Linked DNA regions of Oreochromis niloticus. The protein of the gene in region 1 purifies or fractionates together with the protein of each later gene. This does not show direct contact. Links are inferred from orthologs where the notes say so. Each region holds a gene or a part of one and is shown on either strand. Other genes may lie near its edges.

Region 1 (8,310 bases):
AATTTCTTTGTTACGCCCTAAAAGGGATTCCGATGTTAAACATTAGTTCTGCATGACCTTTCTGCCAGGTAACTTGCGCCCCACCTTCAAGAACTCTGCGCCACACACTTAGAGAACCACTGGTCTAGGAGTACTGATTTTTTTCTGTCAATGTTTGGTACATTTAAAAGAGTGGGGAAAGGCGTCCTTACATTCTTAAGATGATATGATGATGATATTGTGCTCTTGAGTAATTTAAAAGAAATGAAGTAGCCACTGTGAGATCATCCACTGGTTTGTGAAGTTTTTTTTAGCTGTTGGCATTTTAGCTTTTCCAAAAGAGATGTTATGTGAGGTGGATTTTAATCTGTCTGCACTTTGATAGAGTAGTTCAATTCAGTTTGATTTATATCACAACAGGAGTCCCCTCAAGGTACTTTATATTGTAAGGTAAAGACAATAATAGAGAGAAAATCCCAACAATCAAGCGACCCCCTTTGAGCAAGCACTTGGTGAAAGTGGGAAAGAGGAACTCCCTTTTAACAGGAAGAAAAGTCGGGCAGAATCAGGCTCAGGGAGGGGCAGCCACCTGCTGGGACGGGTTGGGGGGCAATGGGAGAAAGATGAAAAGAGAGCCAGAGATTAATTTTAACTAATGATTTAAGTGAGCTGTCAACAACAAGGAAGACCTGCTCTTTATTGTCCTTCTGGATGCTAATGGTGGCCATAATGTACAAAATGTGTATCATGTTATATTTAGTAAGATTTCAAACTAATAAATGACACCATAAGCTCAACGGGAATATGTTTACTGAGAAGATGAATCAAAGGGGGAAGTGGTCTGTTTTCCCCATAAACTTCCCAGATTTGCCTTCAGTGGCCATTAGAAAGGATCCATGTTTAAAGCACCTCCACAGTTGCTTATGTATTCCGTCAAAGAAGCTATGTCTATTTTTGTATACTGACTAAGACCTGCACGGTAAATATGATGCTAACACAGCGTCCAACTTCTAGCTAACAGGTTTTCTCAGAAAGACTGAAAAAGGAAAAGCTATAGCTAGTCCGTGTCTCTCCGACAATATCAGGCTAGCTGATTCCTCTGGTTTTCAGTCTAACTGGCACCAAAGTTAGTCAACCAACAGCCATGAGAGTATCTATTTTCCTAAATAAAGCACATCTCCCTTAAAGTTTTAAGTTTTAACCACAATCATTCAGAGCTTTTTTTTTTCAAGTGGAAACAACTGAAAATATAAACAGCCTCATTTTTCTCAGTCAGGAGTCACTAGGGATCTGCTTAATGCATCAGTTCAGTCAGATCTCTACAGCCCAGCAACTTATCAATTCAAAGCCATATTATCAGATCACTGGGTGATGCTCCTATTGAATTATTTCTGTACATTGACTTGCTTCTCTCTCTGGGCACAGAGCACATAGCTCCAAATGAGTCGTAAACCTTTTGAGAATGCACTGAGTTCCTGCAGAGTAAGCTGTTTTCAAAGGATGCCAGAGCGCTGCCTTCTTCCTGGGTAACAGAGACTTGACTACAAATGGCTCTCTGTGGCACTCTGTGTGTTTTACTCTACGGTGCCTGCCACAAAGCACCGTCACCTCCATTGCAAAACACTTAGCTTCAGACTCCATGAGCATACACAACACTAACATGCAAAAATCACACAATTCAAGATGATGCCAATGCCAAATCCAAGCTAAATCTTTGCCAGTGCTTGTTTTAAAATTGTGTTACTCTAACTGGTTTTCCAGAAAGGTGAAGAGTGCAACTGTTCAATTTCTCTACATTCTTCAGTCCTCACTAATTTAACTGCAGATAAAAGAATTTCATAAAATATTCTATTGCCAAACTTTTTTTTTATTTTTATTTGTACCAGGTGTTATGTGTCTTACATGGCTGGGAGCATGATCCAAAAATTGGTTTTGGTTGCAAGTGTCTGCCACCATCATCACTCTTCTTTGGATTGGCAGCCATCCAATTTTGACTGGAGAAAGATAACTAAGTTCGGCTTGTTCCTTTTCTGGAGCCTGCATGATATGGGCTCTCTCCCAGCTTCCTCTGCGCTCCGGAGGTGAAAAAACCCCAGTCTGGAGGGACTCCTGGCTGCCCAACGAGCTGTCACATAGGCTTGAACTCTCACATGAAGATGAGACCCTGCTGAAAGAGGGAAAACCCGTGTGTCTCCAAGCACGTCCAGTTGGCTCTTTGTTCAGAACAGGCATGGATGTTGTTCGGTCATTGAACCCTCGAGCCTGATTATGAGCTGGGGCTTTAAGTGTGCTCTGCATAGCCTGCAGGTGCTCTAGCCAGCTGTCCAGCTGGCCACCTTCAATGGCGCTCTGGGGCCGCGGTGCACGTGGTGGATGAGAAACAGCGGGCCCTTCTGACATCAAGCTCTCCCAGTAGGACTCATCTCCTGATCTCCTCCAGCCTGGAGTCCTCCTTAGGTGGGCAGCTGGCCTACGGAGAGTCATCCCTGTGGAGCTTAGGTTACCACTCACAGCTCTCAAGTTTCAGCTCCTCAATAAAAGCCGTTTACTGTGGAGGTATTAATGAGAAACTCCTGGCTCAAGCCGACTTCTTGACAAGAGTCATCCTAGAAATGCACTGCAAGGAATCAGCAGTTACAGTAATGATCAAGGTCATCTTTGTCACAGTTCCTGTTTTGAGAACATATGAGAACAAAGTTCAGAATTAGAGTTTCAGATATGTTATTTTAGGTTATAAGACTCACAACAGTTATTATCAATTTCATTCCGTGATGGTGGTGTTACTCACCAGTTAATGACGTACAGTCCTTTTTCACTTGAATCCAGTTCTTCTCACTCTTTAGTGTTTAGGAAGTAAACACTGCCTGTGTTGATATAAAGTAGGTGGTAGCGGGTACTGTCTCCAGCCAAGCAGCAAGTAGCAGTATAAGGGAAGGTTTGGAGGACAAAAGAGTTACTGAGCACAAGGGCTCAACATCCAATACACAGAGGAAGATGGGAAGAGACAGAGGGAGAGGCGGGCCGAAAAACAAACACTTGTTGATGTGATGCCTGACGTAACAAGAGCTCCATTTAAACAAAGAACATAGTCAACATTCATCATGTAGGGATTAAACTATCTAATTTTAGGTTACGGCAAGCCAAATACAGTATTCAATATTTTAAAAGGCAAGTCAAACTTCCTGACATTCAAGAGTCCTTTCAAATGATAGAGCATCACTAATGAGCAGATTATCCATGTTAATCCACGACTCACTTACTGCTTTGGTAAATCCTCTTTGTTCAGTTCCCCCTGTTTCGTCTCTTCTCTGTGATCTCGTGGTTGGTGGCTGATGATGAGGCATTGCTATCCTCAAGCTTCTATCCAAGCCATGTGACTTTAGCAAGACTGTCTTAAAATGGGCCAGTGTTTCTCGGGTAAGTAACTGTGACCCACATGATGTCATGCAATGCAAGAGAGAAGGATATTTACAAGGTGGGAAAACTTGCTGGGAGAAGGATTTTGCTTCAGATTTTATTCAGGGGCATCTTTAATCTTTAAATGCAGATCTGCAAAGATACAACTTCTTCCAACAACAAAAGAAAAAGAAAACTGGCGCCTGCTTTGATAATAATGAATTTCACTGTCCTCGGTGGATTACCAGTCCCTACATGGCTTTCAAAACAACTTCAGTATCACTGGGTGGAATTACATTTTCCAAATGTAAAAAAAAGACAAAGATAAGACAGAGGTGTCCTGTCTATCATTTGCAGTGACCTGCTTTAAGGGAACGTTTTTAAGCTGAGAAGCTGCATGTAGAATGAAAATGCAGTGATTTGAAACAATTTGCATAATTTTGTCCGCTCAGCCTGGGAGATAATACGTAAACAAATAGAAAAACTCAACTGAGTAAAGACAGAATTTGACCAGATAGACGAAAGGTAACTTCTTTCCTAGGCGAAGAAGTCTGAAAGCGGCAGCCCCCTCTGCTGGCACAACTTTAATATGACAACCTGGAGAGGAGGGAGAAAGGAAAGGGGATGGAAAAGAGTGTTTGTGGGATGGTGAACGGTGGGGGGCACGGTCTTAATAAGTTGAGAGACTTGTGCATCTAAGAGTAGGATGCATCAGTTGTGCAGAAAAGATAAATAAAGCCGAGCAGGTTCGAGCGTGTGAAGCAGGTGCATCACTTCTGTATCATCTGTTTAGCACCCGCAGCTTTAAGGGGCCATTTCTGCTGCTTGAATCAGCGCATTGCTGCTCAGAAATATCACGGTCGCCTTTATCATTAAGCGCCAGCAAGGAAGGAAATGAACGCTGACCGCATGTATTTTAAACCTGTGGTCGAGTCAATCAGATGAGTATAGTGTGTGTATCTGTGAACGCGTTTTACCTTAACACCATGCACTCTGAGGTAAAAAAAAAAGAAAAAAGAAAAAGTCTCCAACGCTACAGTCAACTAACTAACGTTAGGACTGAAACATGTTTAATTTGTGAGTTTATTTTATTTTTTCTCTCTAAAGCACATGAAGCACTTATTTAAACCCGACCCAAATGGATGTTACTATCACTATTAGTGATATTAATATTAAGTTTAGTCTTCTGTAGTTATCATCGCATTTATTAATTCAATCCCCTGCTGCTAAATCTGATTTTCTTATAACATTTGCATATACTAGTCTTTAGATAGCTTTTTAGAATGTTGCATTACATAATTAGCATATTTTTATATTAACATAAACGTTGTAGCCACCTTATGTGGATATTGAAACAAAATAACTAAAAAAATTAACATCAACCTTGAATTATAACTGCTTTATGACATAATGATATTTCTACGCCCTTGCAGATTAACCTGCAATCATCTAATCAGTCATGCAGCTCAGTGTGTAGCAGCGTCCGTCACAGCACGACCAGCGCTGCGAGTTTCGCAGGACGCCTGCAGGGTGAAAAAGTTGTGTTCCCTTCCTCCCCCTTGCGGAGCGTCCTGTCACTGGTGGAAAATGGCTGCTCGGAGTAACTCCCCAAAGCTCAGAGAAAACTGAAAAAAAAAAAGTCTACATTAATAACAAGAGGTCACATCTGGACCTTTTTTAACAGGCAGAGCGACAACTCGGGGAAGCCTCGACACTGAGAATGTCTCGCTGGGTGCCCACTAAAAAGGAAAAGTATGGAGTTGGTACGTAAGAAAACTTGCATGCTCCATCGCTAGCTCGCCCTAGCTCTCTGCTCTCAGATTGAACAAGTTAGGGAAGATTTGTGATTAGAAAGCGAACGACTGAGTTTTTCCCATCCGTGGGGCTGTACGCGGGATCCCGTGGTCATATTTGACAAAAGCTAGTGGAATGCAAATATTACGAGTGGGGAATGTGCCAGCTGGTTTGCATGAAATGCAGAACAAGGATTGTCTTGTCTTTTGTGAGGAAGAGGACTGTGTGTGTGTGTGGATTGGGAATTGTTAGAGGCGCGCCTAGTACAGCGGTGTTTCCTGTGTTATGGGGCCTCCGCTACAAACTAACTAGCTAGTTTCAGGCTACGCTGGACTTGTAACTCTGAAGTTTGATGCTTGCTTTTGTGTTTTTTTTTTACTGTTTTCGTCTTCTGTACCAGGGAAAGCCTTCCCTGTTGGTTGCTTATTGTCAGCTCATCTAAGAGTTTGAAACCTGGCTGGAGAGCATTGTGCCGTTTAGCTTCCACCATCTCCTTTAGGGGGGATTTATTCAACAGTATCGAACCTCGTCGCAAAAAGTAACTGTAACTAGTATGAATGATATGTCGAAGAACTCAGCTTTAAAGGGAAACTGCTATAAGGGCAGCGTTTGCTATGTTTTCCTGTAGGAAAAAGACTTGATCAGATACATCCAGGGGATGTTAGAATTATATTACTGTTAATTTTTTGTCTTTGTTTACCAGGTTTACCATGCTTTACGCACTAATATTCAGCCTTTAAAAATGACACTAATTGCACAAACCACATCTTTCCACATGTTTACTTTTTGGCTCTAGATACATTTGAATAATAACTATCCAGGTGTGTGATATAAAAAAAGAAGTGCTTTGAAATTTCTTTGGTAATTCCACTTGACTGTGGGATGGAACAGGGAACAATAAAAATAAAAAACCACCATGAGGAAGTTGAGGTCAGATGAAATCTGTAATGCACAGAATATAAGAAAAGAGTCGCATGACTTGTTGAGTTTTGATGGATTAAAGTTGCTCATTGCGCCACTGGATAGATTTTTTTTAGGGATCTTTCATTTTAGCCTTTATTTGTAAGGACAGTGGAGAGAAGATGGGGAAGCTGGAAGAAAAACCAGGGGGAAGATGCGTTGTAAATGTCCTTGGGGCGATTTTGAACCCAGGCCTTGCATTTGGGCTGCCTGGGCTTGCCCAGTGAGCCAAACCACTGCCCCAGTTTGTTATTTTTAATGTTCCACAACATACTGAGTTACTTTTTGGCTATGTCCATTAGTGGGACTGAGGGCTTGCAGCTGTATGAGGGTTGCCGAAGCTGACTGATGGATGAGTTCAGCCGGTTACGTGAAAGCACAGGTTTTTGGTCCGTTTCATGGCGATTGAAGTGTGACAAGTTTACAGTTCTGATGCTACTGCTTGTCCGTTTAGTCACAAATATGCAACGGTTCTTGAAAGTTGAGATTCTTCAAAAGCCATGGAGAAAATTCTTTCAGGGTTCAGTGAATGCAAGAGTGGATGAGTCATTAGTAAAAAGAGAAGCAGCTGCCACCTCACTGCTGCACAGTATTGGTTGGGTGCACAGCCATTGCACTTTTAATACTTTATGTGTTGACCAAGTAGCACTAATGAGCAGTCGGTGAGACACCTTATGCTAGCAGCACTCACTGAGGACCTATTTCTGTTTCAGCAAAACTTTTTTTTTTCACACCATTTACTACTCTCATAATGGTCCCACTGCTTTGTTTGTGTATGTGGAAAAAGTGTCTCCTTTTGTCTTCTCACAGCAGCATTAATAATGAATGGCACTGTCTTCTTGCATAGAGCATAGCAGTGATTACGCATGTTTTTGTCCTCATACTGGTGTATTCACATTACAGTATTTGTGCAAGCAAGTCTTTGTATAAAGCCATGTTAGATTTGTGTCAATAATAACCAGAAACAAAATAAATCTTTGTTTTTCTTATTTGTTTTTGTTTTTCTGTGTCATATTGCGTAGCTCTCTGCTCATTGTTATGCTTCACTATGTGGAAAGCGAAGCACTTCAAACCTTGAACAAAACCAGAGGAGCTTTTTAGTAAACTAGCCTTTTTTTGTTGAATGTAAAGCTTAGTAATATATTAGTAATATATCCCTGTTGGGTAATGATAACGTGCAGGTTTCTTAAATTTTATTGCAGTATGGCTGTAATCTCAGGATCAGCTGGTCAGTTGTTTGGGCAGCACACTCTTATCTTCTTCTAAGTAACACAATAACAAGTGTTGCTTTGGTGAAGAAAGAAAGTGCTACATCAGTAGCTTTACAAGATTGGTCCATGGTTATTGTCAACAAAGGGGAACAGATGATTTGCGTTAGGGTGGAGGCTTATAGTGTGACCATATCTGAAGTGGCATATTTCGATGTGCTTGTTCCAAGAATAGTTTATCTTGGCAATCTCCAGAGTCTGTCTGCAGCAGCAGCAGCTACACCCACACCAAACTGGATGTGAAGGTGTTTTTGAAAACTGAAAAAATGATTGTAAAACAAATCTAATGTCCAATGCTCAAGATATTAAGACCATTAGCAGAAAGGTGAATCATTCTTCATGACCATACATTAATCATTTATATACTGCAAACACTAACTTTTTATGCCAGTTTATTATTTAGATGGAGTGCACTCTTTAAAGGTTACATTGTTAAGACATTAAATTACAGAACATTCAAAAGTCAGTCTTTAAAATGTTAATTTCACAAGATAAAGTTAGACTACACCTTTATGTGGTTCGAATTATAAAGCTGATCTCTGTTAATAAGGTGAATGTTTGCTTGCAGAGGTTCCAGGTTACTGTCTGAGGGCACTAACATGTCCTCTTAAAGGGATCGTGGACTTAAGCGTTCCTGCCAAACATATGTAACTAATGTAGTGAGCAGGGAGCAGCTTTGTAAGCCATAATGTATGTTTATGACTGAGTGCCTTCACTTCCTGTGATTTTTCCTTTGAGTATTCACATTGTACTAACCTGCCAAACAAAACTTCTATTTCTCACCTGACCTTTAATTGACTAATGGAATCATTTGGAAATAAAAAAGGGAGGTGTGGCTCAATTTCCTGTGGCAGGTTTAGTGGCCTCAGAGTGAAGGAGTTTATCCCTTTAAGTTTTATTCTTTGACTCCATT
Region 2 (7,685 bases), on another chromosome or scaffold:
TAAGAAAAAGGCGAGGGGGGGTTGTCAGACGTGAGGAGTAGGAAATTAGCAGGGTTGCACTTGAGGAGGTGGTGAGAAGATGCCAAACAGTAGGGAGCGTCAAATGGGTACAGAGAAGGATCTCACATGTGATGCAAGTCAAAGAGGCGAGGGCAGGCACCCATCCTCTCCCCAAATGCCTCTCCATCTCAGCCTCTGTGTACTAATCTGATTTCCTGGATTATATTTCAGGATTTTAAAAAAAAGAAAAAAAAAGCCCCAAGTACTCAATTTTAATTCCATCAGTTTGTTTGGTGACTCACTGCTGCCGCATTTCATCATCCAACTTTGTTTTGCTCTTGTGTTGCAACACTCCATTTCTACTGCTGATTTTTAAAACCCTGCAGAGCTAAAGAAATATTTACTCGGGCGAGGGGAGCTAACAAGAAATGAAGGTTTGCCGCGGCTGATAAAAACTTAAGCACACGGGTCCCTCGTGTGAACGTAAACCTGAAATATGACTCTGCTGGATCAACACGGTGAACCTCACAGCCAGGGTTGATGGGGCTACAGGTAGCGCTCTGTTCCCCAGTATGGCTCATAAATGGCCTTCTTTGAGTGGTAAAGCTGTGCCAGACCTCTGCTGAAAATCTGTAACTCACAGTCATAAGAAGTCACGGGGTGCATAATATTCTTATGGACATTATTACTGGAAAAACAACTCCACTGAATCCCTTCTGGTCAAGTTCTGCATCTCCGGTGTAATGACTGCGTGTGTCCCAGTGCTTTTGCTTCTAGGCTACAATCTCGCCATGACACGATGACGCCAACATGCTTGCGGTTCCATCACAACAGGGACGTCTTTGGCGGCTAACGGGGCGTATAAACGAGCTCTCACTCTGCCAGAAGTTGCCCAGAGGAGCAGAGGGTCCGAACGCAGACAACAGCGCAGACCCAGGGCTGCACGATGACTGATGCGATGAGGACAGCGCCGAGACACGCCGAGCTGTCTGCTGTTGAGGTCTTTTTAGAACAGCTACAGATTGAAGTGAGGGAGGAATAATGAAACGGTGGTTACAAAAGTGGGATTCGTGGCATCAAATTGGTAGATTTTCTCATCTTCAGCACTGATTCCATCCGCCTCGTCTTATCTCACAGGTTTAAAAGCATTGTCAGGGAAGCATTATGGGACTGTTTCTCGTTTCACTGCAGGGAAAACACAGTGCGATGGATTTGAAGCTGCACATCGGAATCAAGTCACAGCGATCCTGTTACAGGAGGTTATTTCAGATTTAACATCCATTACATCCCTTTAGTCTATGGACTCTGAGTCTGTTTTTCACTGATTTCTACCTATTCGTCGTGTACTCTCAATCACAGCATGAGGTGTTGAGATAATAATCACTCCAATCCACACATATCTGCTTATGAATTTATAGAATCTGCAGACAAGAGACAAGATTTCAGTGCCAGAAGTTTTTCTTTTTTTGGGTTTGGCTGCAAACAGTAAATAATCTGTAGGGAGAACTAAAAAATAAATACATGCACCGGAAGAATCAAAGTCGCAAAATCATCAGCTATCCTTTGATTGGCATTTAGGCTTTTAATTACTTTGAGTAATGCATTTGGATTCGTTATTAAATTATGACCACCGCACACAACAGGAAGCTTTGGGCCCAATACGTCCAGATATCCGACGGCTACGCTGGAAGAACATTTGATATCATATTTTAATGAAATCAAAATTGATATACATCTCACATTAGCTGATCTACTCCACAGTCTTTCCTCGTAAGAGCAATTTGGAGACGAAATGCTTGGGAATGATGCACCCAGCCCCTGTGTTGTTTATCAACAATATTAATATACTTTCTGCTGTAATGAAGAAGAAGGGGAGCTACTTAGGGCCAAATCTTTGCAAACAGAGGTCTAATGTGGTCTAACGTCTTGTTTCTTTCCACAAGAGTAAGGCAGGAAAACAAAGCAGAAGGTTATTAAATCAGCAATGACGAAAAACTGATTAACTACTGTCTTTCTACCCAAAGAAATTGGATATCCAGCCAGTGCAAGGGGAGGAGTGACAACAGATTCTTCTTCTTCATTTTTTTTATTTTTTTTTTTGAGGGACAAGACTAATCAGAAGTTTGGGAAACAACACTCATTAAAACGCATTGATTTGACAGGGGAGGTCAGGTGAAAACACACCGGAAGTGAAAAGAGAGAAGTGAAGGAGACAGCTTTAAAGGGTGTGAGTGAAGCTCATGTTGGTATCGCAGGTTCTGATTCGTTTTGAGGATAGCAGAGAGCTTCTGCATGCATCAGAGGCTGTCCGGCTTCTTCTCTCCCTCCTCTCGCCTAATCACAGGCCCGCGGTGTGGCCAGCGTGCAGGGCTGGAGTTACACACCGCGCACAATTAAAGCAGCTCTTTAATTAAGGGGGGGGGGAGACGTACAGCTTTTTCCTTCTTCTTCCTTTTTTTCTGCATTTAGCCATCAGCAGCATGCACTTCCATCACACAAGCCGGGCAAAGCAGAGACCTCGGCTGCTTCTTAGCTGTATATCTGCCGCAAACACGCAACTTGCAGCGTTGCTGTGCACTTGTTTCAAAAAAGGGGAAAAACAAGAAACTAAACCGAGGACAAAGCCTGGATTTGCTGGCACTTTCATTTATGCATCGCAGTTCAACATGCATGTTTGCGAGAGAGAGAGGGAGCAGTGATGCTTAAAAAAAAATCCAAAAAAAAAATCAGAAAGAGCATGTCAATAAAAGAACAGCGCCCGGAGCCGCTGTGAGGCCACCGAAAACAAAGTAGCGACAGGCAGGAGGAGAGAGCCGTGAGCGCAGGAACACTCGCTGCCTCGCTCCGGCGTAACGCACAGAGACTCGGGCATGCCGTGGCGAGAGCGCAGCGAACACACAAAAACACTGCGAGCCACCCCCCAGGAACATTTAGCGCCACAACGCGAAGGAAGTGAGACGGAATTTCAGCAACATCAACATTTCTGCAGGAAGAGGGAAACGAGGCTTTCACCAACCTGACGACGCGAGGACGCTTCTTCCACTAAAAGGCGCCGATGTCCGGAGTTGTGTGTGTGTTGTGAGTGAGAGAGAGAGAGTGTGTGTGAGAGCGTGTCACTCACTGGTGTTTCCTCTCCTTCTCTCTCTCTCTCTCTCTCTCTCCTCTGCCGTAGAGATAGTGCTGATGTTTCCACTTCCTCTTTTCTTCTGCCGTCTGCTGGCTGGCTTGTGTTGCCAAACAGAGGATGCACGAATGCATGACAGCAGCAAAACTCAAGCAGCCGCTGGTGAACAGGAGGAAGGGGACTTTTTGGTAATTATTTATTTTTCTACAGGATGGAAAATCGTTATTTTACTATTTTAGCCATAAAGCTTAGCTCGGTTTGGTTAATAACAGTTTTAAGTGCAGTGCCAACATACAGAAAGGGAAATGAAAACTTTATTCTTGTTTTACAGAGTATTTCTGAGAGGAAACCTTCACTCTGTAAAAGTAATCCTCTCCTCATTTTCCCTCTGTCAATTTATTTAACTAAACATGTAGTGAGGGAGCGTGTGGTGACAGTGGTGTGTATGGGTGTGTGTAGGTGTATGTTGGATAAGGATGCAAGAGCAAAATCACCTAACAGGAATATCAGGATCACAGAAAACTGGAAGCTGAAGAAGCAGGAAGCACCTTTTCTTATGAGGCCTTCAAAATATGTGCTATAAAGATTAATTTATCATCCCCAAAGCATTTGATATCAGCGTTGGATTAGGTTAATTGCAAGATAAGCAAGAAGATGACCATCCCAGTTTGATTTTTGTTCATCGGTTATAACATTCTTGCACAGTAAAGCACACTTTCCAAGAAAATGAAAACAAATGGTGTGTATTTGATGTATTTTCTTCTTCTCTAATTTATATTTGTTACTGTTTGTTTATACTCCTAGATGCAGGGCAATCAAAAATGACATTAAAACCCAATATGGATCATGTGTAAAGGCATATGTGTAGGCTATCTGGAAGTTATTAAAAAGAGTAAAAAACAGGCTGGAAGAAAACACTGATTAGAGAAGAAAAGAGCAGAACACAATAGTCTGTGTTACATCATATACTTAAATGTTACTTCATGCTCTTGCTGATTTTCCCTGATGTCTTTAGTAACTACGATCCTTAAAAAAACACATCATTCTTGATAAAGAAGGGACTGTCTCCTCAAGAGGACTAAATGTACTTTGCAGTTCATCATTAATGACTTTGCACAGAGAATTTACAAGGCTGAAAATAAATACACGCTTATGTTTCGGCTGAGAATAATTTAGGAAAAAATGAAATATTAGAAAGGACTTCTGCCTCCCCGAGTGAGCCTACACCAACATGACAAATGGTGGGCCTGCTACGGCAACGACTGAACAGATTATACCTGACAAACAACTCAAATCCGAAGGAGACGTCTATTTTTTTTTCACAGTAACTGATGAAACAAAAGCAGATCGGCCTTCAGTCTCTCGGGAAAGGAAAGGCAAACGGGAACAGTGCTTTCAATAATTCATGGTTATTGAATGTCCTCCTGTTTGGAGGGTGGGATTATGACCTTCTAGTGTTACTTTATGTCTGGGAGCATAATGTTACAGGCACTCTGTAAAGACTGCAGCATCTCCGAGCCACGGCGTCCCTTTAATTTTGATCGTTAATTACCTGCTGTGCTTGGTACCAGAATGAGTGGCATTTGTGGCTGAAAGAGAAAAAGAGCGTGTGGCAGGCAGCTCTGCAGCTCGTCCTCGTCTCCACTCAGCGGGAGCAGCAGCAGGAGGATTAATACAGGAGCCCTGTTCGTCCTGGCAAACAATCTGGAGCGACACACCCAACAGAAATCTCTTAGTCCCTCATTCTGTTTATTTTTCTCTCTGCGAAAAACACAGGATGCAAAACTCGGCCCGTTTAAATGGCAGCCCGCGTCCTCGACTTCACACCCAATCTGACTCCATAAATAGGCTGCGAGGACAGGCACACCTGACCCAAAAATATAAGAGGAAGAAAACAGATATTTTTATGTGTTTTTCAAGATGCGTCAACACATTTTGTTTTTCTGTGCAAGCATACAGATTTGACTCCGATAATAAATCTTTGTTTGACCTATGAATGCTGCGTGAGCACACTCAGCATGCTTGATATGGTATGTAATATATTATAAACAGCACTTACTGCTGCTTTTCTTTTGGGGAAGCAAACAAAAGCATTCTTTTATCCCTCTGAGTTATTTGCGTCATTCGGTCACTGTGACCTTTGGATCCCCGACTCTAACTTGAGAGGGCTCAAGAGCAAATCGAAGGGCTCAGAGATGAGGTCATATTTTCATCTTCTATTTCGCCATATAGCTTTAAGACAGCCCACACTCCTAAAAAAGCATTGCATGATGCATTCAATCAAGTGGAGACTCACAGTGCAAGCCGGTAAAACTGCAGAGTCACTCTCATTTCTGGTGTTGCACTCAGAAGGTAAGCACTGGACTGATTTCTTTTTATAGATGTCAGTTGTCACTTGTGTAACTCGCTCTGATTTGGACACATCCTGTTTCACAAACAGTGGGCCAACCTCCATTCATCTGCGTGTCTGGTGTGAAACTTTAATGTCATATCAGATAACACTATCAAAACAGAGGGAAGCCTTGGTGCTGCTTAATTTTCCCTTTTGGCAAACATGGTTATTATTCATGAGTTAAGTGCAGCAGCTCTGCTCATAAAGGTTTAATTGTCTACTTTTCTTTTTTTCCTCCCATATTTTGGAAAACAAATCCAGACCATACGTATCTGAAGAGCTGCATGTTTTTGCTTCAGATTTGATTGTTAACAGAAGACTGGTGTTCAGCAGAGAACGTCAAAATCAGATTTTACCTGCCTAAACACGATGCTCTTACCTTTAGACTTGTCTTCATTCAAGCTGAGATCAAGTGATTAAACGGGCCACGATTTAGGATCATCGTTTAATAACGAAGCGTTGTCCGCTGGGTTTCAGTGCATTTAGCTTAATTAGACCACCCTGTTACATTCAGCAATAGACCAACAATAACAATAGATGGCAGCGTGCCAGTTCCTTTGGCAAGCCATACATGCTCAAACAGAAGCACCACCGAGTCTGATGATGAATGGGTGTTTCGGCTAGTGAGTCGTTCCTTGTTCTCTTCAGTTCGCTCTATCCATGATTTTTTTTTTTTTTTTTTTTGACAGATTCATGTTTTCTTTCAGCATCCCACAGAAATTGGATTCAAAATGATGCAGGGCTTCTTTTGTAATTGTGAGTCCTCCGAGGCTTCGAGGTCTTCGCTTGATCGTTGACAAGGACTCATGACATACTGCAGACATAAAAGAGGGGTTTCTTAAACACACAAATCCACTCATCCAGATAACTTGTATTCCACTGTATAACAGCTGGTTTTCTATTTTATTATTTTCATGTGTTCACCTGCTTTTTAATAATAATAATGTATACTTTATTGATCCCCGTGGGGAAATTCCTCTCTGCATTTAACCCATTCACTCAGTGAAGCAGTGGGCAGCCATTGGGCGGCCAGTGTGGAGGGACGGTACCTTCCTCAGGGTAGCCGTTCAGTGGATTCAAACCCCCGACCTTCCGATCACGGGGCCACCACTCTACCTACTGAGCTATCCCTGCCCCTTGTTGTTTTTAAATTAACCCAGCTGCCTATTTTGGGGGAAATAACAACCTTTAATGTCTAGAAATACATTATTAACTTCAAATTACAAGTTGAATCCACACACAGCTAACCTAAAGTCTTACCAGGTTGAACTCCCTTTTCCCTTTAGGAGTGCTTGAATTCTTCTTAGCATAAATTCAACAAGGTGCCGACGGATGACAGCATCACACATTTGGTCAATTGCCTGTTACCAGTGTTGGGACTAACGCGTTATTAAGTAACGCGTTACAGTAACTACGTTATTATTGTGGTAACGAGCACGGTAACTAGTTATTATGCCAAAACCAGGAACGCGTTACTCGTTACTGGGATTTAGATAGGCTCGTTACTTCGTGTGGTGGATATCGCGGAGCTTCCACAGATTCAATAACATTAGCAAGTGGTGGAGGCCAGCAGGTGGATGAAGGAAAAGGGAGGCAAGAGGAGAGACCCGTGTCAGGTGAACTGAGCTTCAGGTAAGAAGTTATGACCTGCAGTCTATCGGAGTCAGATATAAACCAAGTTTAGGTGGAGTTTATTTTCGGTATGCTGACATTTTCGTACTGCGTGCTAGCTAGCATGACGGAGTTTCTATACAGCTGGGTGGGTGCGATGTTACTGATGTTGAACTTTATTTTGTTCTTACGGTTAATTATTAGAGTTGCCAACCGTCCCCTAAAAAACAGAATCGTCTGGTATTCAGAGAAAATATTACGCGTTTCGTACTGAGGTGAAAAGGAACACAGTTTGTCCCGGACTTCAGCTACAATGAAAAAGACACAAAGCTGAAGCTGCACAGCTGCCTCTTCTTCTCTCATTCTCTCCCCCTCTCTCTCCCGTTTCTACTTCAATCACGAAACTGATCAATGATCAGCTGATCGGCTTTTCTCTCTTGTTTGTTTATCGCCCACTTTGCGCCAGAAAGAGGAAACCAGCGGATGTCGCGTTAAACAACAGCAGCACGTTTAAGCTTGATCAGCTGTTAGAATTTATTTAATATTAATTTCTAGTAT

Evidence for each region. Proteins that work in one complex are often made in the same cells at the same time.
Region 2: the proteins of dock1 (region 1) and elmo1 purify together in Homo sapiens (affinity purification with western blotting; 12 studies listed by BioGRID and IntAct, counting the BioPlex papers as one, with this or other methods). This does not show direct contact. The link is inferred for Oreochromis niloticus from reciprocal best matches to the Homo sapiens genes DOCK1 and ELMO1.

What each region holds. Positions count from the first base shown.
Region 1 is NC_031973.2:11,208,965-11,217,274, reverse strand, and holds the start of dock1 (dedicator of cytokinesis protein 1), read left to right. Parts: upstream 1-4,873; 5' UTR 4,874-5,095; coding exon 5,096-5,138; intron 5,139-8,310. Other genes in the region: lg8h10orf90 ((E2-independent) E3 ubiquitin-conjugating enzyme FATS), read right to left, coding at 1,882-2,463. UniProt on the Homo sapiens protein: Involved in cytoskeletal rearrangements required for phagocytosis of apoptotic cells and cell motility. Along with DOCK1, mediates CRK/CRKL regulation of epithelial and endothelial cell spreading and migration on type IV collagen.
Region 2 is NC_031985.2:22,706,647-22,714,331, forward strand, and holds the start of elmo1 (engulfment and cell motility protein 1), read right to left. Parts: upstream 3,144-7,685; 5' UTR 3,017-3,143; intron 1-3,016. UniProt on the Homo sapiens protein: Involved in cytoskeletal rearrangements required for phagocytosis of apoptotic cells and cell motility. Acts in association with DOCK1 and CRK. Was initially proposed to be required in complex with DOCK1 to activate Rac Rho small GTPases.